Stegostoma tigrinum: one gene and its partner. The protein of the gene in region 1 interacts with the protein of each later gene in a pairwise test. Links are inferred from orthologs where the notes say so. Each region holds a gene or a part of one and is shown in the gene's direction. Other genes may lie near its edges.

Region 1 (12,367 bases):
AAAGTTCCACAAAAGGGACTGTCAAATAAAGCAGGAACCCATGGAATTAAGGACACATTACTGGCATGGCTGGAAAATTGATTGAGTCGCAGGCAACAAAGTAGGGATGATGGGTAGACACTTAGATTGGCAGGATGTGACCAGAGAACTCCCACAATGTTCCATCTTAGTGCCTCAAATGTTCATATTATTGTTAACAATTCAGATGATGACACAGAAAGTCATACATCCAAATTTGCTGATGATACAAAGTTAGGAAGCTTTCAACAAAGCACACAAAGGGATATTAATAGATTAGGTGAATGGGCAAAAAACTGGCCAATTGATGTAAGCAAATGTGAGGATATCCATTTTGGACCAAAGAGATTAGAACAGGATTGTTTTCTGGGTGGTATAATGTTAAATGCAGTGTATGTCCAAAGAGGCTTGGAGATCCAGTTGCTTAATTTTTTTTTAAATACAATGGAACAGTTGTAGAAAATAATCAAGAAGGCCAATTGAATGCTGACCTTTATATCTAGATAACTAGACCATAAGGATACAGAAATTATGTGGCAGTTATAAGGAACAGTAATTACGGCCCGCTTGGAGTACTATCAGCAGGTTTCAGGAGGGAGTATGATATGATTTTACAAGAATGGTACCTGGACTTCAGGGGTTAAGTTATGAGGAGACATTGTACATATTAGGAGCAAAATCAGAAATTGCTGGAAAGCCTCAGCTAGTCTCGCAGCATCTGACAGACTTCTGTTTTTGTTTCTGATTTACAGCATCCACAGTTCTTTCAGTTTTTTCACAAATTGGGCCTGTTTTCTTCAGAATTTGGACGGTTACTGGTGATCTGATCAAAGTGTTCAAGATATTAACAAAAAAAGACAATTTCCAGTAGTTGAATTTTCTGGATCTAGGGGAGGTAGTCTTAAATTTAGGGCCAGACCTTCAGGAGGGATGTTAATTAGCACTTCTACACACAAAGGGTGACACAGGATTGGAACTCTCTTCCAGAAGTGGTAGCTATAGTGTGACAGAGATGTATAGCATCAAAACAGACCTTTCGGTCCAACTCATCCATTCTGACCAGATATTCTAAATTAATCTAGTCCCATTTGCCAGCGTTTTGCCCATACCCACTATTTATATACTCATCCTGATACTTTTTAAATATTGTAATTCTACTGGCTTCCACCACTTCCTCTGGCCATTCATTCCATACATGCACCACTTTGTGTGAAAAAGTTGCCCCTTAGCTCCCTTTTAAATCTTTTCCCTCTCACCTTAAACCTATGCCCTTTAGTTTTGAACTCACCCACCCTTGGGAAAAGACTTTGTCTATTTATCCTATCCATGCCCCTCATGATTTTATAAACTTCTATAGAGTCACCTCTCAGCCTCCAACACTCCAGGGAAAATAGCCCTGGCTTATTCAGCCTCTCCCGATAGCTCAAGCCCTCCTACCCTGGCAACAACCTTATAAATCTTTTCTGAGCCCTTTTAAGTTTCACAACATCTTTCCTACAGCAGGGAGACCAGAACTGTACAAAGTATTCCAACAGTGGCATAACCAATGTCCTGCACAGTTGCAACATGACCTTCCAACTCCTATACAATATACTGACCAATAAAGACTTGCAGACTAAATGCCTTCTTTACTATCCCATCTCTGATTCCACATTCGATGAACTATGAACCTGCACTCCCAGCTCTCTTTGTTTAGCAACAGTCCCAGGACCTCATCATTAACTGTACAAGTCCTGCCCTGATTTGCCTTTCCAAAATGCAGCACCTCACATTTATCTAAATTAAACTCCATCTGCCACTCTTCATCCCGTTTGCCCAGATGATCAAGATCCCATTGTAGTCTGAGGTAAACTTCTTTGCTGTCCACTACACCTCCAATTTCAGTGTCGTCTGCAAACGTACCTCTCGTGTTCACATCCAGCTCATTTATATCAATGACAAACCGCAGTGGATCCAGCACTGATCCTTGTGGTATACCACTGGTCACAGCCCTCCAGTCTGAAAAGCAACCTTCACCACTACTCTCCGTCTCCTACCTTTGAGCCAGTTCTGTAATGAAATGGCTAGTTCTTCCTGTATTGCAAGTGATCTAATCTTGTTAACCAATCTATCATAAGGAACCTTGTTGAACATCTTATTGAAATCCATTATAGATCACATCCTTTACTCTGCCCTCATCAATCCTCTGTTACTCCTTCAAATCATTAGTGAGACATGATTTCCCAGGCACAAGGCTATGTTGACTATCTATAATCAGTTCTTGCCTTTCCAAATACATGTAAATCCTGTCCTTGAGGATTACCTCCAACAATTTGCCCACCACCAATGTCAGGCTTACCAGTCCATTGCTCCCTAGCTTTTCCTCACCACCTTTCTTAAATGGTGGTACCACCTTAGCCAACCTCTAGTCTTTCAGCATCTCACCTGTGGCTATCGATGATACAAATGTCTCAGCCCAGCAATCACTTCTCTAACACCCCACAGAGTTATACGTTACACCTAATCAGGTCCTGGGGATTCAGCCACCTTCATGTGTTTTAAGATATCCAGCACTTCCTCCTCTATAATATGGACACTTATCAAGACATTCAGATTTTTTTTCCCACGTTCTATACCTTACATTTCCTTCTCCACAGTAAACACTGATCATAGAGCTATACAGCATCGAAACAGACCCTTCGGTCCAATTCATCGAAACCGACCAGATATCCTAAATTGATCTAGTCATGTTTGTCAGCATTTGGCCTATATCCCTCTAAATCCTTCCTATTCATTTGCCCAACCAGATACCTTTTAAATGTTGTAATTATACCAGCCTCCATCACTTCCTCCCTCTGCATGAAAAAGTTGCCCCTTAGGTCCCTTTTAAATCTTTCCTGTCCTATCCTAAACCTATGCCCTCTAGTTTCAAACCCCCCCACCTCGGGGAAAAGACCTTGGCTACTCACCTTCTCCATGCCCCTTGTAGAGGTTTTATAAACCTCTACAAGGTCACCTCTTGGCCTCTGACGCTGTAGGGAATAATAGCCCCAGTCTATTCATCCTCTCCCTATAGTTCAAACCCTTCGAACCTGGTAATATCCTTGTAAATCTTTAAATGTTGTTAATTTAAAATCTGAAATAGATGCATTTTTGTTAAGTAAAGGTACTGAGGGATATGAGCCAAGGGCTGTTATATGGAACCCAAAACAGAAATTGCCAGAAAAACTCAGCGGCGAAATCAGAGTTAACACTTCAGGTGGAGAAAGCCTTTCTCAAAACTGACGAGCGCAGATATATGGGAAAACTGTGGATCAGCCACCGCCTCTCATGGTCAGTGAAACGAGTTGTGCAGAAGGATTTTAATTTACATTCATTTAATTTTAATTTAATTTGATTTGATTTCATGGAAAGATGGAAGAGGCTGGAGAGGCTGAATGGCCTGACTCCTGTTCCTGAGTATGGAGGCCAGGCCCCCAGAGACAGGGCCTACCCTCCCTGACGACCTCTTCAACTAGCCCCCACCTGAGGACCTTGCCCTCTTCCCTTCCCAATTGTGCCCCCACCGTCACACCTTTGACCCCGCCCTTTTCCCTCAGTGACGCCTCTGGCCACGCCCATTCTGATTCCCCCTCCCCCTCTCGGCCCCACCGGCATCGTAGTGGCTGCCGCAGGGTCCTCTTTTCACCCCTCCCTTCAGGAGAACACAATCCTCCCACCCCGGAGCGGGATAAGATAAATGCTCCTCACAACCATTCCTGAACCCTCCGCCAAACCGCTCCAGAAATAGAGCGAGCGACAACCGGTGGATCCCTGCCGCAGAACATTTGTGAAACTGCAAATTAGTGCTTATTCTTTATCACGAGCTTCCGAAGAGACTTGAAAAGGTTTTTTGAACTGTGAATTAAAATGCTTCCGCGGAACCCGTTTCACGGGCTGGTGGCCGACCACAAGTTTCCCCAGATTTAATCAGTACACCTTTTCACATAGTGGGGACGTGAATCTTTGACATAATTCACATCCTGTTGATGGACAATTGTCTTCCCATTGTTTCCACACCGCCCTTTCTACTTGAAAAGACGATGTGCAGCGGTTATTTAAGTCCCAAGACAAAGGAAGAAAAGTCCTCAAATTCAGTGAAAGCCTTTTTTAAAAAATTGCTTTCACATCTAATGATTTTGAATGATTGGCTCTTAAGGTGATTGATTCCTTATTCATTCGACAGTTTGCAACCACGAGCCATCACCAATAAAATGTCAAGTCCATTCCCCTCACTCATTGCCGCGACACCACATTCTGTGCAATTTTAGAATTGGGGAAAACGTTGTTAAGGGCAGTAAGACTGTTAGAAGTGTAATCAATTTGTCATCTGACCTCAACATAATCTGAACTGTCCTAAACCGTTTTTTTTAAAGCAGCCTGATCTGAAACGTTTTGGACAAACTGACCCGTTTCATTCCCGGAAAATCGTCAGTAGAACAAGTTATCCTCTCCCCATTCTCGGGAGGGACGTAGTAGTTCCAGTCACTTTCAACGAGGAGCAGAAGAACAGAAAATGTTGGAAAAACACAGCTGTCTGGGAGCATCTATGGAAAGAGAAACAGACTTAACATTTTGAGTCCAATATGACTCTTCTTCAGACTAAAGAACAGTTGATCGTTCCTAACTATCCTTAAGAGTATGGTGATGAGTTGCCTTCTTTAATTGCTGTAGTTAAAATGACGTGGTGAGGTGCAAGTATATTCACAGTGCATGTTTGCACATTCAAGAAGTCTGTCACCACACAGCATCCAAGTCAGATTTGAACAAAATATCAGAGGTTGGGCATTGCCTATATAAACACAGTCCTTTATACATAGAGCTTTCCAAAGAAAAGGTGAGTCACCTTGATAAAAGAATGATGAGAATGTGATTATAGAACATAGAACATGAGAGCACCGTACAGGTCGGCCCTCGATGTTGCACCAACCTGTGAAACCAATCTGAAGCCCATCTAACCTATACTATTCCATTATCATCCATATGTTTATCCAATAACCATTTAAATGCCATTATACCATTAAAGTTGGCAAGTCTACTACTGTTGCAGGCAGACCATTCCTTACTACTCTCTGAGTAAAGAACCTACCTCTGACTTCTGTCCTATATCTATCACCCCTCAATTTAAAGCTATGTCCCCTTGTGCGAGCCATCACCATCCGAGGAAAAAGGTTCTCACTGTCCACCCTATCTAATCCTCTGATCATCTTATTTGTCTCTATTAAGTCACCCTCTTAACCTTCTACTCTCAAGTCCCTCAGCCTTTCTTCATATGATCTTCCCTCTATACCAGGCAACATCCTGGTAAATCTCCTCTGCACCCTCTCCAATGTTTCCACATCCTTCCTATAATGCGGTGACCAGAACAGTACGTAATACTCCAAGTGTGGCCGCATCGGAGTTTTGTACAGCTGCAACATGATCTCATGGCTCCGAAACTCAATCCCTCTATCAATAAAACCTAACACACTGTATGCCTTTTTAACAACCCTATCAACCTGGGTGGCAACCTGATTAGCACAGTCAGTTCCATAGAATGGCAAGAAATGAAATTTCCAGATTTGCTGTCAGTCCTAACCTGAAAGACATCAATCAGAAAGATGTCAAGTGGAGCCTGCAACATTTCCCAATAATGAAATGTAATTTATTAAAGATACTACCTCTCTGGCTTGTCTCACAATTTTGTATAAGAATCATTGGCAAGAGCAAGTATACCAAAATAGGTAACGAAATAAAATGGAATAGAAACCTAATTGAAACATTCCCTCAATAATTAAAATTTCAACTTTATTTTTTTAAGAACAGATATGATGCAATGTGTTTCAATAAAAAGAGCGGGAAAACTAAAATGGTGAAATAGACAGCACCTTCCAAACATGCACTTAGCTGAAAGCATGTCTGCATATAGCTAAGGAATTTTTGTCGAAAGGCCCGAAATGTTAACTCTGGTTCTCACTTCACAGATGCCAACTGACCCAAAGTGTATTTCGAGCATTTTCTGCTTTAGGTTACTAAGGAAGATCAAGGGTTGACAGGAGGTTTGACAGGGATACAAATTCAATGTGCAAGTCGTAACGCAGCGATAAATTTAAAATAACAATATAATACAAACATCCCGTGGTATCGTGAATTAAAGCACTGTTTAAAGACTGAACTGCAGAAAATAATTGCTGCTGTGGAAATAATTCTGCTTCAATGTCTGTTACTGCTGCACTTTACCACAGGGTTATCGCGTCTGTTCCGAGAACTGGATTATTTCCAGGAAACACCTCAATGTCACAGCTCAACCTCTTAGTCAAAGAGGTTAAGAAGTAAGCTGAAAAAGAAGCTCCACAGAAAGACTTTTACCTGTCCACTTATTAATATTTTAACCCATATTACCATTACAGCTATCTTCATTTAATGATGTCTATTGTGATCACAGTGTATCAAACGTAGTACCTCATTTGCCAGACGTAGAACACACTGGCAGCTACCACAGGCAGACGGTTAATTATAGTGTCTGTTATAAGTTCTGAAGAAGTCATAGTGGTCTCAAACATTGTATCAGAGATAATGGGAACTGCAGATGCTGGAGAATCCGAGATAACAAAGTATGGAGCTGGATGAACACAGCAGGCCAAGCAGCATCTCAGGAGCACAAAAGCTGACGTTTCGGGTAACTCTGTTTCTGTTTCCACAGATGCTGCCAGTCCTGAGTTTCTTCAGTATTCTCTCTGACAATAGAGATTGTAGGTCTGGGTTTGTGCCTTGGGAGTTAAAGATTTATAGAGAGAGAGCAGTGTTTTTACTTTTAAAAACCCTAAAATGTTTGGTATGTCTACAAACCCCTGAAACATTGACCTGGTGGTTTTGTGGTGAACCCTGACTTGCCAGGAATTGCTCCTTGATCTTGTTTCAGTTCTGCGTCATACCCATGGAAAGGCAAACCAGCAGACTGGCCATGTATCAATGCAAAGTGAAAGCCATGATGTGTCACGAAATGAGTTATTCTGGTGAACACAAATATTTTGGTTGCCAAAAAAGTTGAAGAATTTAAAATCTGTCCACTCTCCATTTTCAAATGTAGCTGCAGCCACTCAGGCCACAGTTTAAATGCTGCACAGAAACGTGTCCGCAGTTGGAAGCTGGAAATCTGAAATATATAAGAATAAATTCTGTAGAAGCTCAGCAGAATTAGAAGCATTTGCGGACAGCAGAACAGAGTGAGCGTTTCGAGCCCAGTGCGACCCCTGTTCGGAACCTACTGAGTTTGTCCAGATATTTTCAGTTGCTGTTCCTATTAAAATTCTCTCTCGATGACTAATCTAATTCCAATAACACTTCACTGAGTTTGAAGTAATGCATTTTCCGATAAAGTCTTCCTGCTTGTATCCATGCCAACATTATACTTTACTGTAAAGTGCGTCAAAGATTGCAGAGGTTTGGTGGCGGGGGGGGGGCATATTTTGGTTGTCCACCTCGTGGTTTGCCCGTTGATTTGTTTTGGAGTCGGTTTCCTGCGATGTCTCAGGAGTTTCATTAATTATGGAGTTCAGTGAATACGAGACAGCAGATGCCCCTCGCTACAGTTTGCAAGAGGAGGAGGAGGAAGAGGATGAACGAGAATGGTGTTGTACAGTTGACGACATTGACAGTAGCCCTGGGTCTCCTGCCTCTGCAGCAAGCGGCGAATTGACAGGTACGGGTGAAACTGAAAGCCAACATCCGTCTGACTGCCAAATTGAAGACTCATAATATAAGCCTATTTGAGTTATCATCTTTAGCCAATTGCAAACCATATAATGGCAGTTTTCAGGGCGGGTTAATGGCTTGAGTTCAGAAATTATATTGCTGATGATGAGATGGGCTGGAGGAAATACTTGTTGAAAACGATACTACCGGGTGGCCCAGAATCGACAACACACAACATACATCTGGAAAATGAATGGGCATCTGTCTTTGATTCATAAAAAGAAATTTTGATGTCTGATTTTGATCTGGTCCGAAATCGATCAAACAGCTCTTGCCATTGTTGTCCGGAAGAAAAGGAGTGATTTATTAACAAGTTGTGCATGGATGAAAGGACATTCCATCTAAGGAGCCAAAAAAAACCCTTTCAGATCAGACAGAGGTCCACCTGCACATCCTCCAATGTGGTCTACTGCATCCACTGCTCCCAATGTGGCCTCCGCTACATTGGTGTGACCAAGCTGAGGCTGGGAGACTGCTTTGTAGAGCACCTGCGCTCTGTTCTCGATAAATGGCAACAACCTTCTGGTTGCAGACCGTTTCAACTCCCCCCCCCCCGTGCGACACGTCCATCCTGGGCCTCCTCCAGTGTCACATTGACGCCACCCGGAAACTGGAGGAGCAGCACATCATATTCAGTCTTGGGAGCCTACAACCCAATGGTCTCAATGTGGACTTTACCTGTTTCAAAATCTACCCATCCTCGGCCTCATCCCATGATCAACCCTCCCTCTCATCCCCGCCTCCTTGACCTGACACAACCTGTCCATCTTCTTCCCCTCCTATCCGCCCCACCCACTTCACTGACCAATCCCCACCACTGCCGACCTGCACTCACCAATCACCATCCCACCTATCTCCCCCAGTCCTAGCCCTCCTTTCTATTTATTTCAGAGACCCCTCCCCCCTCTCATTTCTGTAGAAGGGTTCCAACCCCAAACGTCAAGTTTCCTGCTCCTCTGATTCTGCCTGGCCTGCTGCGTTCCTCCAACTCCAGCATCGGCAGTCCTTACTGTCTCTCAGGAATTGCTTCTCCCTGTTTTATAAGATGAAAAAGATTCATTTTCAGTTTATATGTGTGACCCCGCAATAAGGGATGTCATCAGGCAATTTGACCAAATGCAGTGTGTGACGAGTCTGACCTCTCCCTAGGGGGATACCTGCATGATCATACTTTATAGCAGGAGGTCACTAGGCAGTCATCAAGGATGTAGTACATGCCTGGATTGTGTGAGGGGTAAGAGATCATCTGTTATTCCTGGAGGAGATGGTTGTGTAATGGCATGTTGTTGGTTCCAGGAACCCACAGGCCCAGGTTAATTCTCTGGGAACAAGGGTTTAATCCTGTCTAATTAAGACCTACAGTGTAAATAGACAAGTATAGCTGGGGAGGTGATGGCCTAGTGGTATTATTGCTGGACTGTTAATCCAGAGACCCAGATAATGTTCTGTGGGCCCGGGTTCAAATCCCACCTTGGCAGACGGTTGAATTTGAATTCAATACACATCTGGAATTAAGAGTCTAATGATGACCATGAATCCATTGTCAATTGCCAGAAAAACCCACGTGGTTCACTAATGTTCTTTAGGGAAGGAAACTGCTGTCCTTACCTGGTCTGGTTTACATGTGACTCCAGACCCACAGCAATGTGGTTGACTCTTAACTGCCCTCTGGGCAATTAGGGATGGGCAATAAATACTGCCTAGCAGGAGACACCCTCATTCCATGCATGAATAAAGGATAAACAAAAGCCGATCAGTAATGGTGACCATGGCCTGTATATGACTCCAGGCCCACAACAATGTGGTTGACACTTAAGTGGCCCAGTAAACCACTCAGTTGAAGGGAGTTTAGGCCTGGGTTAAAAATGGTGCCCTGTAAATAAACAGACTGACTACTCAGCACTTTCACAGGTTCAGTAATGTGCTAATTATCAACTAAACCATCAAAGATGCCTTCCCTCTCTTTTTTAAAATCTGTGGAACAACTGACTTCTTTAAGGAGTACCATAGTTGCAGGCAAAACTATTTTTGAATTTTATTGTTGCAAAGTGCAAATGAAGGCTCATATCCCACAGGATACAGTTATGATAAGAAGAACTGACAAGCTAATTCAGGAAACTGTGGCTATTATGGTTGTGTGCTCTGTCACAATTCAAATTGAAAAATTGTTTTGATAATTTTTAGATCCATCTCTGGCAAGTGAGTAGTGAGCTTAATTTTGGGTTACAGTGGGATTAGTGTCTTCAGGTTGAAATGCAATATTTCGTAAATTTGGCTGTAAAATTTGATTGTGTGAATGCTGGATTTTCCAGATTACCATTGCAGCAATGGTGTTTGCTGATGTGTTAACACGTTTTAATTGCAAAGTGTTAATCTTACCAGCAGCACTTACTGATAGCTATCTATGTAGTTAGTAGTCTGTTGATTCCAGCAGACTGTTAATTCGTCTGGCAGGAGCTAACTTTGAGAGAGACTGAATTGTATTTCTTTCAACCTCCCATCAGATATGAAAAATGTTTTTGTTTCTTTTGTATGAGTTCGACTTTACATACAAACTGCACTAGCGAAATAAAGGATGGAAATTAGGAAAGCAGAGAGAGAATATAAAAAAAGAGGGCAGGTAAAATCAGGGAAAGTTCAAAGATATTTTATCTGTACGTTAAGAGCAAGTGGATAACTAAAGAAAATTGGAAAATTTTATCTTTTTCTCTTCCAATTTCCACCCTGTTCTCACCTTCACCTGATCTATCTCTGACTCTTCCCTTCCGTTCCTCGACATTTCCGTTTCCATTTCTGACGTTAAGCTGGCCACCAATGCCCCAGTACAAATCCAACGACTCCCAAAATTTCCTGTACTATACATCCTCCTACCCTGCTTCCGGTATTCCCTGTTCCAAGTTCCTCCATCTCTGTCACATCTGTTCCAATGATGTCAACTTCGACAAGGCGGCCTCCAAAATGTCCAACATCTTCCTAAACCGAGAATTTCCCATCATCGTGGTTGATAGCACCCTCAGCTGGGTCCAACCCATCTCTCGCACTTCACCCCTCAGCTCCCTCTCTTCCCACCCAGTCCAGTGGGAGGGTCACCCTTGGCTTCACCTACCATCAACCAGCATCCATTTCCAAAGGATCGTTAACCACCATTTCTACCACCTCCAGCGGGATGCCACCACTAGACAGCTATATATCCCTCCTCTCCCTAGTAAGCTGCAGGGACCTTTCCCTCCTCAATACCTTGGTCCATTTCTCCTCCATTCTGAACATCTCCCTTCTTTCCCATGGCACCATGTAATCGATGGTGCTGTCCCCTGCAATCACAGAAAACACTGGCCTGTTTACTTCCTCCCTCCTCACTTTCCAAGGCCCTAAACACGCCTTCCAGGTGAAATGTCGTCAACTGTATTCGCTGTGATCGACACTGGGGGGAACAAGCCTAATTTCTGACCACAAAATACAACCCTGAGTTTCTGGTTGCCTGTCAGTTCAACACACTATTGTGTTCCCTGGCCAATATCTCTGTCTCAGCCTTGCTGCAGTGCTCCAGTGTCTCATTTTCTGCTTGGGGACCCTGCAGCCTTTTAGGCTCGATATTGATTCCAACACTTTTAGGGCTTGAACACTTTTCCCCATTTCCGTACCCTTGTCATCACATGGACTGCTATCATGAACAACCCATTGTCAGTCACCAACAGTCCCCATTAGTGGCTATTCATTCTCCCAGACTGACATTTACCCACTCCTTTCTCTACCCAACTCTTCTCTCTCTCTCTCTCTCTCTCTCTCTCTCTCTGGGCTCCACCTCTACTCATCATTTACTGTCCCCTCCACCCCCACCCCGTGTTCAGCATATATACCAACCTTTTCCTCACTACAATTTTTGGACTGGAAAGTTTAGCTCTGCTTTCTTTCCACAGATGCTGCTAGATCTGCTGAGTTTTTTTCTGGCAATTTCTGTTTTTATTTGTAATGAAAGGAGGGACTGACGCTATGGGTTGAGATGTGCACTGTAATTTTTGCATGGATGCAAAAGATAAAGGCAGGGTTCTAAATGAGTATGTTGTTTCTATATTCGTAATGCAGACATTCTAGTTAAAGAGGAGGAGTGTAAAATCTTAGACACAATATGCGTAATACGAAAGGAAGTACTGGAGAGCATGACATCCTTAAAGTTGGTTAAATCACCAAGAAAGCAGAAAGGAAATAACAGATGCACTGCAGATCATTTTCCAGATAAAAATGAGACGCCTGAAGATTTAAAGTTTGCAAATGTTGGACCATTGTTTTTAAAAAAGGTGTCGGGTTAAGGCAAATGATATTGTCAGTCTGTCTGATTTTGGTGATAGGCAAATTATTAGAATCAATCCTGAGAGATGGACTGTCACTGAGAAAAGCACTGATTTATTAGGGATTGTCAGCATGGCTTGTTTAGGGGAAGATCATGCCTTTTTAACGTAATTGAATTTTTTGAGGAAGTAACAAGAGAGAAATAGTTGAGACATAGGTTATAGGAGCAGAAGGGTAATGTTGAAGGTGTACAGGACTTTGGTGAGGCCACAAGTGGGGCACTGTGTGTAGTTCTGCACACTGCACTCTA
Region 2 (12,349 bases), on another chromosome or scaffold:
ACTCAGAAGGCGGCTGAAAAGCAGGACTTCTAGGGTGGTTATCTCCAGTTTGCTTCCAGTTCCTCGGGCTGGAGGGGGCAGGAACAGGGAGATATTGGACTTGAACGTGTGGCTGATGAACAGGTGCCAGAAGCAAGGATTTAAATTCTTGGATCAGTGGGGTATGTTTTGGGGTAAGGATAAATTGTATAAGAGGGACGGTTTGCATCTTAATAGGTGGGAGACCAGCATTCTGGCAGGCAGGTTTGCCACTGCAATGCAGGTGTGTTAAAACTAAGTAGTGGGGGGGGGGGGGGGGCAAACTGGAAATTTAAGAATGAAGTTAAAGGGAAAGTGAGAATAAGAGAAGTTAAGAAAGACAACAGAATCAACGGAGCAGAAAACTCAAGAAGGGATCGTACAGTGTGGCCAAGTGAAATAGGGATTGATAGGAAGGGTGAGGGGAGTAACAAATTAAAAATATTATATATGAATGCACAGAGCATAAGAAATAAGGTGGATGACCTTGAGACTCATTTGGAAATTGGCAAGTATGATGTTGTGAGGATAACTGAGACATGGCTCCAAGTGGATAGGGCCTGGGAAATGAATATTCAAGGCTATACGTGCTATCGAAAGGACAGACTGATGGGCAGAGGCGGTGGGGTGGCCCAGTTGGTGAGGAATGATATTCAGTCCCTTGCGAGGGGGGGGGGGGCATAGAATCAGGAGACGTAGAGTCAGTATGGATAGAGCTGAGAAATTCTAAGGGTAGAAAGACTCTAATGGGAGTTATCTACAGGCCCCCAAACAGTAGTCAGGATGTAGGGTGCAAGTTGAAATTGGCCTGTCACAAAGGTATCACTACAGTTGTTATGGGAGATTTCAACATGCGGGTAGACTGGGAGAATCAGGTGGTACTGGACCCCAAGAAAGGGAGTTTGTGGAGTGCCTCCGAGACAGATTCTTAGAACAGCTTGTACTGGAGCCTACCAGGGAGGAGGCAATTATGGATCTGGTGTTGTGCAACGAACCGGATTTTATCAGGGACCTCAAAGTAAAGGAGCCATTAGGAGGTAGTGACCATAATATGATAAGTTTTAATCTGCAGTTTGAAAGGGAGAAGGGAGAATCGGAAGTGTCAGTATTGCAGTTGAATAAAGGGAACTATGGAGCTATGAGGGAGGAGCTGGCCAAAGTTCAGTGGGACAATACCCTATCAGGGATGGCAGTGGAACAACAATGGCAGGTATTTCTGGATATAACGCAGAAGGTGCAGGATCAGTTCATTCCAAAGAGGAAGAAAGATCCTAAGGGGAGGCAGGGGCGGCTGTGGCTGATGAGGGAAGTTAAGGACTGTATAAAGATAAAAGAGAAGTATAACATAGCAAAGATGAGTGGGAAGCCGGAGGTCTGGGAAGCTTTTAAGGAGCAACAGCGGATAACTAAAAAGGCAATTCACAGAGAAAAAATGAGCTATGAAGGAAAACTGGCCAAAAATATAAAGGAAGATAGTAAAAGCTTTTTTAGGTATGTGAAATGAAAAAAAATGGTTAAGACTAAAATTGGGCCCTTGAAGTCAGAAACGGGTGAATTTGTTATGGGGAACAAGGAAATGGCAGAAGAGTTGAGTAGGTACTTTGGATCTATCTTCACTAGGGAAGACACAAGCAATCTCCCAGATGTAATAGTGGCTGAAAAACCTAGGGTAATGGATGAACTGAAGGGTATTTATATTAGGCAGGAAATGGTGTTGGATAGACTGTTAGGTCCGAAGGCTGATAAGTCCCCAGGACCTGATGATCTGCATTCCAGTGTACTTAAGGAGGTGGCTCTACAAATCGTGGACGCATTGGTAATCATTTTCCAATGTTCTATAGATTCAGGATCAGTTCCTGCGGATTGGAGGGTGGCTAATGTTGTCCCACTTTTCAAGAAAGGAGGGAGAGAGAAAACAGGAAATTATAGGCCGGTTAGTCTGATGTCAGTGGTGGGAAAGATGTTGGAGTCAATTATAAAAGATGAAATTACGACTCATTTGGATAGCAGTAACAGGATAGGTCAGAGTCAGCATGGATTTACAAAGGGGAAATCATGCTTGACTAATCTTCTGGAATTTTTTGAGTATGTATCATGAAGATGGACAAGGGAGAACCAGTGGATGTAGTGTACCTGGACTTTCAGAAAGCCTTTAATAAAGTCCCACATTGGAGATTGGTGAGCAAAATTAGAGCACATGGTATTGGGGGCAAAATACTCATTTGGATTAAAAATTGGCTGGCTGATAGGGAGCAAAGAGTAGTGATAAACAGGTCCCTTTCGGAATGGCACGCGGTGACCAGTGGGGTACCACAAGGTTCGGTGCTGGGACCACAGCTGTTTACAATATACATTAATGATATAGACGCAGGCATTAAAAGTAATATTAGCAAATTTGCTGATGACACAAAGCTGGGTGGCAGTGTGAAATGTGAGGAGGATGTTATGAGAATACGGGGTGACTTGGACAGACTAGGTGAGTGGACAGATGCATGGCAGAAGCAGTTTAATGTGGATAAATGTGTGGTTATCCACTTTGGTGGCAAGAACAGGAAGGCAGATTACTATCTAAATGGAGTCAAGTTGGGTAAAGGGGAAGTACAACGAGATCTGGGTGTTCTTGTACATCAGTCAATAAAAGCAAGCATGCAGGTACAGCAAGCAGTGAAGAAAGCTAATGGCATGCTGGCCTTCATAACAAGAGGAATTGAGTATAGGAGCAAAATGGTCCTTCTGCAGCTGTACAGGGCCCTGGTGAGACCGCACTTGGAGTATTGTGTGCAGTTTTGTTCTCCAAATTTGAGGAAGGACATCCTTGCTATTGAGGGAATGCAGCGTAGGTTCATGAGGTCAATTCCCAGAATGGCGGGACTATCATGTGTTGAAAGATTGGAGCGACTGGGCTTGTATACACTTGAGTTTAGAAGGATGAGAGGGTATCTGATTGCGATGTATAAGATTATTAAGGGATTGGACACTCTGGAGGCAGGAAGCATGTTTCCGCTTCTTCACCCAGAGAGTGGTGGATATATGGAATGCTCTGCCCCAGAAGGCAGTAGAGGCCAGCTCTCTGGATACTTTCAAGAAGTAGATGGATAGAGCTCTTAAAGATAGTGGAATCAAGGGTTATGGGGATAAGGCAGGAACAGGATACTGATTGTGGATGATCAGCCATGATCATAATGAATAGTGGTGCTGGCTCGAAGGGCCGAGTGGCCTACTCCTGCACCTATTGTTTATTGACACCCTGAATTAACTGTTTCTATAGATATCCTAGAGGAGCAACTGCATATGTCTGTTGAAAACTGTCTCAGCCTATTGGTCCATTTTACATGTTAAAGGTTACCTGACTAAAAGCAATCTGGAATATTTCATATCTTAAACTTTCATTCTATGAGAATTTACAACTATTTTGGCCAAAGTGTTTTTATAATATTAATTTCTGCAGAGAAAGTTTGTTAATGTTTTCTCAAATTTGTACATGTGCATGTGTACTGGGGTTAGTTAAAAGTGTAAATTCTTACTATTTCCACATATCAAACTTGTTAGTGCATCTTTATCAAATAGTTTTGTTGTTATAATGATCAATAATTTTGTTAACTTAATAAACCTGGTTTATGGGTCTTTATGTACTGAACCTAAAACAGACCCACTGATGAAGGGTCTAGGCCCAAAATGTCAGCTATTGTGCTCCTAAGATGCTGCTTGGCCTGCTGTCTTCATCCAGCTTCACACTTTGTTATCTCGGATACAGCAGCATCTGCAGTTCCCATTATCTCAGTGTAATTTTCCAACCTTGGTCACAACAATAGCCTTAGAAGATACCACTAGTGCAGGTCGACGGGTCTACACATATCAATGTCAGTCCCCTGGACAAAGGGGGAGGATTAGAAGCAGGAAGGCATTCAACTGTAAAACCACCCACTAAATCTAAAAAGTTGTTAATTGAAATGAGGTTAAAACGACTGCATCAGCACCGCCTCACGCTCCCACAAGAAGCTTGAACAGTTCATCCACTTCATTAACACCTTCCACCCCAACCTTAGGTTCACCTGGACCATCTCCGATACCTCTCTCTCCTTCCTGGACACCTCTATTTTCATCTCTGGCAACCACCTGGAAACCGATATCCATTTCAAGCCTACTGACTCCCACAGCTACCTCTTCCCACCGACCTTCCTGCAAAAATGCCATCCCCTATTCCCAATTCCTTCACCTCCGCCATATCTGCTCCCAAGATGAGGTATTCCATTCCCAGACATCCCAGATGTCCTCATTTTTCAAGGACCACAAATTCCCTTCCACAATGGTTGAAAAAGCCCTCGGTCGTGTCTCTCACATTTCCCACAACTCATACCTCACACCCACTCCCCGCAATAACAACAAACACAGAATCCCCCTTGTCCTCACGTATCACACCATCAACCTCCGGATCCAACACATCACTCTCTGGCACTTCTGCTACCTGCAATCTGACTCCACTACCACTACCAAAGACATTTTTCCCTCCCTACCCTTATCTGCCTTCTGGAGGGACTGCTTTCTCCATGACTTCCTTGTCCACTCCACACTCCCCACCAGCCCCACCACCCCCGGCACTTTTCCCTGCAACCACAGGAAATACTACACCTGCCCCTAGACCTCCCCCCCTCACCCCCATCCCAGGCCCCCAGAAAACCTACATTAAGCAGATGTTTACCTGCACATCTGCTAATGTGGTATTCTATATCCGCTGTTCCAAATGTGGCCTCCCCTACATCGGGGAAACCAAGCGGAGGCTTGGAGACCACTTTGTGGGACACCTAGGCTCGGTTCACGACAAACAATTGCACCTCCCACTCAAGAGCCACTTCAACACTCCCTCCCACTCCTTGGACAACATATGAATTCTGGGCCTCCTCCAGTGTCACAGCGATGTCAAATGTGCTCTCATGAGGAGCTTGAACAGTTTATCCACTTCACTAACACCTGCAGGAACAGCACCCTATATTCCGCTTGGGAACCCTGCAGCTCAATGATATCAATGTGGACTTCACAAGCTTCAAAATCTCCCATCCCTGACTGCATCCCAAAACCAGCCCAGCTCATCCCCACCTCCCTAATCTGTCCTCCTTTCTCTGACCTATCCACTCCTCCCACCCCCACCTCCTACCCACCAGCCTCATCCCTGCCTCCTTGACCTGCCATCTTCCCTGGAGTGACCAACCCCCACCCTAACTCCTCACCTACACTGGCTCCATGCCCAAGTCCTTGACCTGTCCGTCTCCTCTCCACCTATCTGTTCATTTATCCAACTTTCATCTGCCTCCCCCCTTCTCTCTATTTATTTCAGAATCACCTTCCCCTCCAGAATTTCTGAAGGGTCCAGACTGAAACGTCAGCTTTCCTGCTCCTCTGATGCTGCTTGGCCTGCCGTGTTCATCCAGCTCTACACCTTGTTATCCCTTAATTGGAATGAGGGTGGTCACCCAACATTGCAGCAATTCCATAGAACATGGGGAAAGCTGAAAGATAAAGCAAGTGTATAGAGATAAAAAGTATTCCTAGAACTCAACCTTGGGAAACACCATATCTACCATCTTCTCGTCTGAAAAACAACTATTAACCGCAACTTGCTATTTCCTGTCTTTAAGCTAATCTTCATCTAATTTAACACTGATCATCTTATTCAACTGGCTTCAATTTTATTGAACAATTGCTTTATGTATATATACACAATACCTATTGAAAGCCCTTCATCAATTTTTTGTCACTCAGAAAATTCAACTAGATTGGGCAGATTATTACAATATGTCTTTGACAAACCCATTAGGCTATCTTTTAATTCCAGGTTTTTGTTCAAACCATATTCTCCGAGCATTCGCCTGGGGTTCTGGATTATCCGTTTAATGACATCCCCACTTCCCCAATCTTATGACAAAGTTTTTGTTCTAGCATGTTAAAATCACTGTGGGCACAGTTGAAGGAAAGCCAGCAGGTGACCTTTCCGAGCGTATCCTTCCATCTCTGAACCTTCCGGAATTTTACAGGCGGCGGTGAAGCAATCGGGCTCTCTGCCTATTCAGAATAGCCATTTAAAAACTTCACCCTTTCGCTGTTTCACCAACAGTAAGTCAGAAGTCACACAAAACCAGGTTATACTCCAACGGGTTTATGTGAAATCACAAACTTTCAAAGCGCTGCTCCTTCCTCACCTGACAAAAGGTCCGAGGGTCTCGACCCAAAACGTCGACTCTCCTCCTCTCATGCTGCCTGTCCGGCTGTGTTCCTCCAGCTCCACACTGTGTGGACTCTGACTCTAGCATCTGCTGTTCTTGCTATCTCCGATATGGTGGAAGGTTTCCTTTTGTGGTTCCCGACACGTTTCAGAAACAGAATAAATGTGTGAGCCAGGTGTAAGCTGTACGATTCCATCAGCTGCCACTGTGGCGCACCACGGTGTCATGGTGATAATGGCTGTAGTTACAGGTCCTTACCGCTTGGTGTCATTATAACACAGTGTAGTTACACATTTTCAACTGCGGGTGTCACTGTGACTGGTAAGAGGACAGCAACACTGTCGTTGTGACTGTACTTCAAGCTTCCACTGCGCTCCTTTTACAGCCATCTCCCCACCAGGTGTCGCTTTGGAATTTTGTTGTTACAGCCTCTCGTGGCCCGGGTGTCGCTGTAACTATGTGTAGTATCAGTTTCCGGCCCCCAGTGTCGCTGTAATTGAGTGTAGTACCCTAGCCTCCTGCCTTCGGTGTCGCTGTGAGTGAGTGTAGTATTAGCCTCCACTCCTCGGTGTCGCTGTTGCAGTGACTAAGTGTGGTAACAGCCTCCAGCCCGCAGTGTCGCTGTGTGTAGGTGTACTACCAGCCTCCAGCCCACAGTGTCGCTGTGAGTGGGTGTAGAACCAGCCTCCAGACCTCGGTGTCGCTGTGTGTAGATGTAGTACCAGCCTCCAGCCCTCGGAGTCGCTGTGAATGGGTGTAGTACCAGCCTCCAGACCTCGGTGTCGCTGTGACAGGGTAGTTGCAGGCGGTGCCGGAGCGGGCGGACGGGGCGGGGTGGAGCGGGAATGGAGAGATCACGGAGTCGGAGACCGGAGTGAGGGGCAGAGGCCAGCAGCCCGATAGACAAACGGTGGTAACAGAAGCCGGGAGACGGACGGTAACTGAGGTCGGGATGAGTATTAGGCCGTGAGAGGTGAGTCGTTCCCGGTTACGTGACTGGCGGCACCGGCACGGAGAGAGCGCGGGGCCCGGTTCCCCCTCCTCCCGGGGCTCCGGGTGTCGGTGCTAAAGAGCTGCAGACCCAGCCTTAGTTACAAACAATGTCGGCCTTTCCCCAGGGGTCAGGACGGAGCTTAGAACCAAAGTCCTGCATGAGGACAGACCCTAGTGCCCTGGGAGCCCTTTGCTCCGGAGCAGAGGATCATCTCCAGACGGGGGCGGGGGCTGGAAGGGAGACCGCAGGAGGCGTCCCCATCATCCAGGAGGAGGCTTCCCCTTTCCAATCAACAGGAGGGGGTTTTCCCCATAATCCAGATGATTTCCCTCCCAATCTCGGAGGAGGCTCGTATAACATCCCTCCCCGCCGCCACCCCCTCGCGTACCTTTTAGAAGGCTCTCCCCCTAATTTGTATGATTTTTCTCAACAATTTTCACATAGCAGCCTCCTGTCCAAAATTGAGTATAATTCGCGGCAAAATAATAATGTTGCACGGATTGTGTCGTGATTTCATTTCCACGTAAGGAACAAATGGGGATTTTGGTCAGACTTTAGCTCTGTTCTTCCTATTCTCGTAAACTTCTGTTCCTGTTTATATCTGTCCACAAATGTCTGTTCCTCGAGGAAATGCTGTGTCTTATCCCTCTTAGCCACACCCCCCAAACCCTTGTCAACATCTGTTGAGACATACCTTGTTTGGCGACGGCTTATGAATAATTTGTTAGATTTTCCTTAAATATATGCGTGAAGAATTTAATTTTGCACCTGGAAATGTCTCTATTGCTATAAAACCAGAATCAGCAACCAAGTTTGTGTTAAATGTGCTTTGCAGTATGTGTGGCTGACCTGTGTGGGAGTGTAGTGCTCTTTTTAGATTGTGCAAGCAATTGAAGTGAAACACCAACAGAGAAATTCCTTGTGTATTCTGGTGGTGTGGGATGGTTCTCCCTGGGGAGCAATGGTCCATTCATTTTAAGATGCTATTTTGATTTGGAGCACCACATCCCAAATGATTCTAACAAAAGGTTATTGGGTTTGAAACATTAACTCTGCTTTTCTCTTTATAGATGCTGCCAGACCTGCTGACTTTCTGCAGTCTTTTCTGTTTATGTTTCAGGTTTCCACTATCCACAGTTCTTTGTTTTTATTTTGATTCTTAATCATGTTGCCATCAAGAGCCCTTTGGGGATTTCTTGATCAAGTTTGTAAGGAGACGTACTCATATACTGCCTTTCGGCAATATGCTAAAAAGGTGTGATACCTCATAGTAAATTTAGATTTGGGGATGTTTTTCCTGAATGAGGGGTTGCAGATATAAGACTAAGAAGAAGAGGATTTTCCTCTGAATGTCATGAATATTTAGAAATCTCTATTGCCGATGGAAGTGAAGGTGGATTCAATGAATGTAATCAAAGATGAGATAGATAGCTTGTTTAGTTGTATGGCAGCAAAGTGGTGATGGCCGCTGTTAGATCAGCCTCAATCTTATTGAATGGCAAAGCAAATACAAGATGCTGCATGGCTCTTACAACCTTTTGCAGGTTGCTATGGTTCATGCTTAGTTTACCATATTGAAAGAAGTACTAATTCCATTTTTTTTCCCATGTTGAATCTCTCCATTTTAGAGTCTCACTTTCAGTCATGCTAATTTCACAGGACCTCTGCCATTTGAAAGCAAGCCAAACATAGAATTGAAACATGGTTATTCACATGGTGCCTTAGGCAGGGGAAAAGAGAAAAGTAACGATTCTTCAGACGTCTCCAATTCTTCTTTCTCTTCTGTTTTTCTCCTTCTGAATATAATCATGACATAAACACTACTTTCTTTCCTCAAGGGATGGAGCTGTAACTGTTTACCTTTACTTTGAATGTTTCTTTGTCTGGCACTGGTATCTTATTTCAGAATTCACTTAATTTCTCTCTTGTCTCTAAGGTGAAATTATACATGTCTAGACACCTTTCATCTAAGGCAACCTGTGCTGTCCCATTGGGATTGAATTGGTCTAGTAAGAGTTTGGTTGGTCAGTGTTCATTTTTCAATTATTGTTTTACGGATAAGTGAATGTATATTAAATAAAATGTAGGCACCTAACAAAATGCGTAATTACTACTGGAGTAATCTGAGGTGCAGTCACATTCATTGATTGTCTGCTATTTCTGTCAGGTAATGAAGTGGTGACAATTCATAGAGCATATCACGGTCCCCTTTGTTGTGTAGCTGTGCACAAGATAGTTTAAGATGATGTACTGTCCATTTGGTTCTTATGTTAGGTCCTGTCGTAATACTTGAGTCTGAGACACTGGGGGAAGAAATTGTCTTATTTCTGTCTGCAAACCCATTTCAGCAGATTAAGTTTACGCTAGTGACTTAGTTTGGTATGTATGTATTGAGCTGAACTGAACTGCATGTTTTCTGAAGCTGTCATGTTATCGTCTTCATATACAGGGAAAGATGGAGTTGAAATATGGTGCATTGTTCTTTCGGAGAACTAGTGTGAACGTTGTTGATTGTTTTATTCCTTACTGTAAAATGTTTTGCTCCATCATTAACACAGTGAAATGTCCCAAGGCGCTTGATAGGAGTTTTCAAAAATAAAGTATAATACCGAGCCGCATAGGAAGATATTGGATCAGTCGATCAAGAGCTTGCTCAAAACGGTAGGTTTTTTGAGGAATATCTTATTGGAGGAAAGTGAGGCAGCGAGGAGAGGGATTCCGGAAGTTGGGGCCTAGGCAACTGATAGCATGACCACCAGTTGTGGGACGTTTTTGATTAGAAATACACAAGAGGCCGGAATCAGCAAAGTGCACACAAGTTGTGGCTCTGAAGCCGATGGCAGAGATATGGCAGGATGAAGCCATAGCGGAATTAGAAAACAAAGTTCTATAAATGTAGTTCAGCAACCACAAAGCTGATAGGGGAATGAGAACTGTTTTAAGTTAAGTCACATGCAGCAGAGTTTTGGATGACCTTTGTTTACAGAGGGACCAGCCAGAAGCCTATCAGAATGGTCAAAACTTTGAATTATACAACAGCTTTAAAAACAAACAATCCATATGCTTTGCGAAGTTTGAAAGGAAGAGACATTGTACCATGATGCCCAATTAAAACATCACAAGTGTTGGAAATACTCAGCACGTCAGATGGCATCTGTGGTGTTTTAGGTCAAAGCACATTAGTAAAGTTAGATCACGTGGGATTCAGGGAAGCTTGCTAATTGGATACAAACTTGCCTTGACAGTAGGACTCGGCAGGTGGTGTGGAAGGTTATTTCCCAGACTGGAGGCCTGTGACCAGTGGTGTTGTGCATCCACTGTTCCTTATCAATTACCTAAATGATTTGGATTAGAATTTGGGAAGCATGGTTAGTAAGTTTGCGGGTCACACCTAAATTGTTGGTATAGTCAACGGTAAAGAATGTTATCTAAGATTACAATCAGATCTTGATCAATTAGGCCAAAAGACTGAGGAGGGGCAGTTGGATTTTAATTTGGATAAATGCGAAGTATTGCATTTTGGTAGCCTGAACAAGGGCAGCACTTATACAGTCAATTGTAGGGCCTGGATAGTGTTATCGCACAGAGACCTAGGGTTCAGTTACATAGTTCTTTTGAAAGTTGTGTTCCAGGTAGACAGGGTGATTATAAGGTGTTTTAACATTCTTGCCTTCATTGCTCCGACCATTGTTTATAGGAGATGGGATGTCACATTGAGGTTGTACAGTACATTGGTGAGGCTACTTTTTCAGTGCCGTGTATAGTTTTGGTCACCTATAAGAAAGATATTATTAAATTTACAAGGGTTCAGAAAGATCTACAAGGATGTTGCTGGGACTGGAGGATTTGACTTATAGGGAGAGGCTGCAGAGGCTGGGACAGGAGCATTGGAGGTTGAGGGGTGATCTTACAGAGGTTTATAAAATCATGAGGGGCTTAGATAAGGTGAAGAGCAGCCATTTCCGAGAATGGGAAGGTTCAAAACTAGGGGCCACGTTTTTAAGGTGAGAGGAGAAAGATTTAAAAGGAACCTGAAGGGCAAGATTTTCACACGTAAGATCGTTCATATGTGGAATGAACTGCCAGAGGAAGTGGTAGATACAGGTCTAGTTACAACATTTAAAAGACATTTGGACAGGTACATGAATAGGAAAGGTTTAGAGGGATATGGGCCAAACACAGGCAAATGGGACTAGTTTGGTTTGGGAAACTTGGTCAGCATAGATGAGTTGGCCCAAAGGGGTCTAGGTCCCTGCTGAATGACTCTATAAAGCCTTTCATCAGAATTGCAGAAGTTAGAACTGCAACAGTTTCTAAGCAAGTTCAGAGGCAGAGAAATGGAAGGGGAAAAATAGCCGAATGTGAATACCGTGCAAGCACATGTTGAATAAAAACAAAATGCTGGAGAAATCCAGCATGTCTGGTGGAAGGAACATCTGTGGTAGAAAGAGGAGAGAGATTAAATGGAAAAAAAGGATAATGGTACAAGATAAACAGCATCATTATTTATTTTGCTGTTTAATCTTTTCCTGTCTTTCACTGTACCTCAAAACCACCCTTTTGTTCTCCTGCTCTCTTCATTCCCAGTCTGTAGGCATACTTAAAATTTATGATATCCCTCAGATGCCTTCTTATGATCATATTAATGGGTACCAACCTGAAATATTAATTCTGTTTATATCTTTTCACATGCTTCCTTACATGCTGAGTATTTCAAACATTTCCTGAGCCTTTATAGACATGCTAGAAGAAGTTACTGGAAACTGAACCAAAGACAGATGGAGAAAGGAAGAGGATTTTGGGAGGCATTGAGATGATTGAAAAATCTGCATTAAATGATGGTGTCTATTGCACCTGCACACTGATTCACAAAGTCCCTGAAGCCTGTTGTTTAATCTTGCTATGTCTGCCGTATTCAAAAAAAGAATTTGATAAATTTTAGGTATCATAGGGATGTGGATAGAAAGTGAAAATGTGGTGTTTAGGTGAAGGATCAGCCATGATCATACTGAATGTCAGAAAAGGCTCCTCCTCCTCACTCCTGCAGCAGTTCAAGAAGGCAACTCACCACCCACCTTGGGCAATGAAGGACAGGCAGTAATGTCTCCTAGTTCCTATG

The links.
Region 2: the proteins of poli (region 1) and rev1 interact in a two-hybrid assay, tested with the Homo sapiens proteins (2 studies listed by BioGRID). The link is inferred for Stegostoma tigrinum from reciprocal best matches to the Homo sapiens genes POLI and REV1.

The regions. Positions count from the first base shown.
Region 1 is NC_081354.1:155,778,547-155,790,913, reverse strand, and holds the start of poli (DNA polymerase iota), read left to right. Parts: upstream 1-7,478; 5' UTR 7,479-7,563; coding exon 7,564-7,717; intron 7,718-12,367. UniProt on the Homo sapiens protein: Error-prone DNA polymerase specifically involved in DNA repair. Plays an important role in translesion synthesis, where the normal high-fidelity DNA polymerases cannot proceed and DNA synthesis stalls. Favors Hoogsteen base-pairing in the active site.
Region 2 is NC_081359.1:59,636,794-59,649,142, reverse strand, and holds the start of rev1 (DNA repair protein REV1), read left to right. Parts: upstream 1-7,021; 5' UTR 7,022-7,209; intron 7,210-12,349. UniProt on the Homo sapiens protein: Deoxycytidyl transferase involved in DNA repair. Transfers a dCMP residue from dCTP to the 3'-end of a DNA primer in a template-dependent reaction.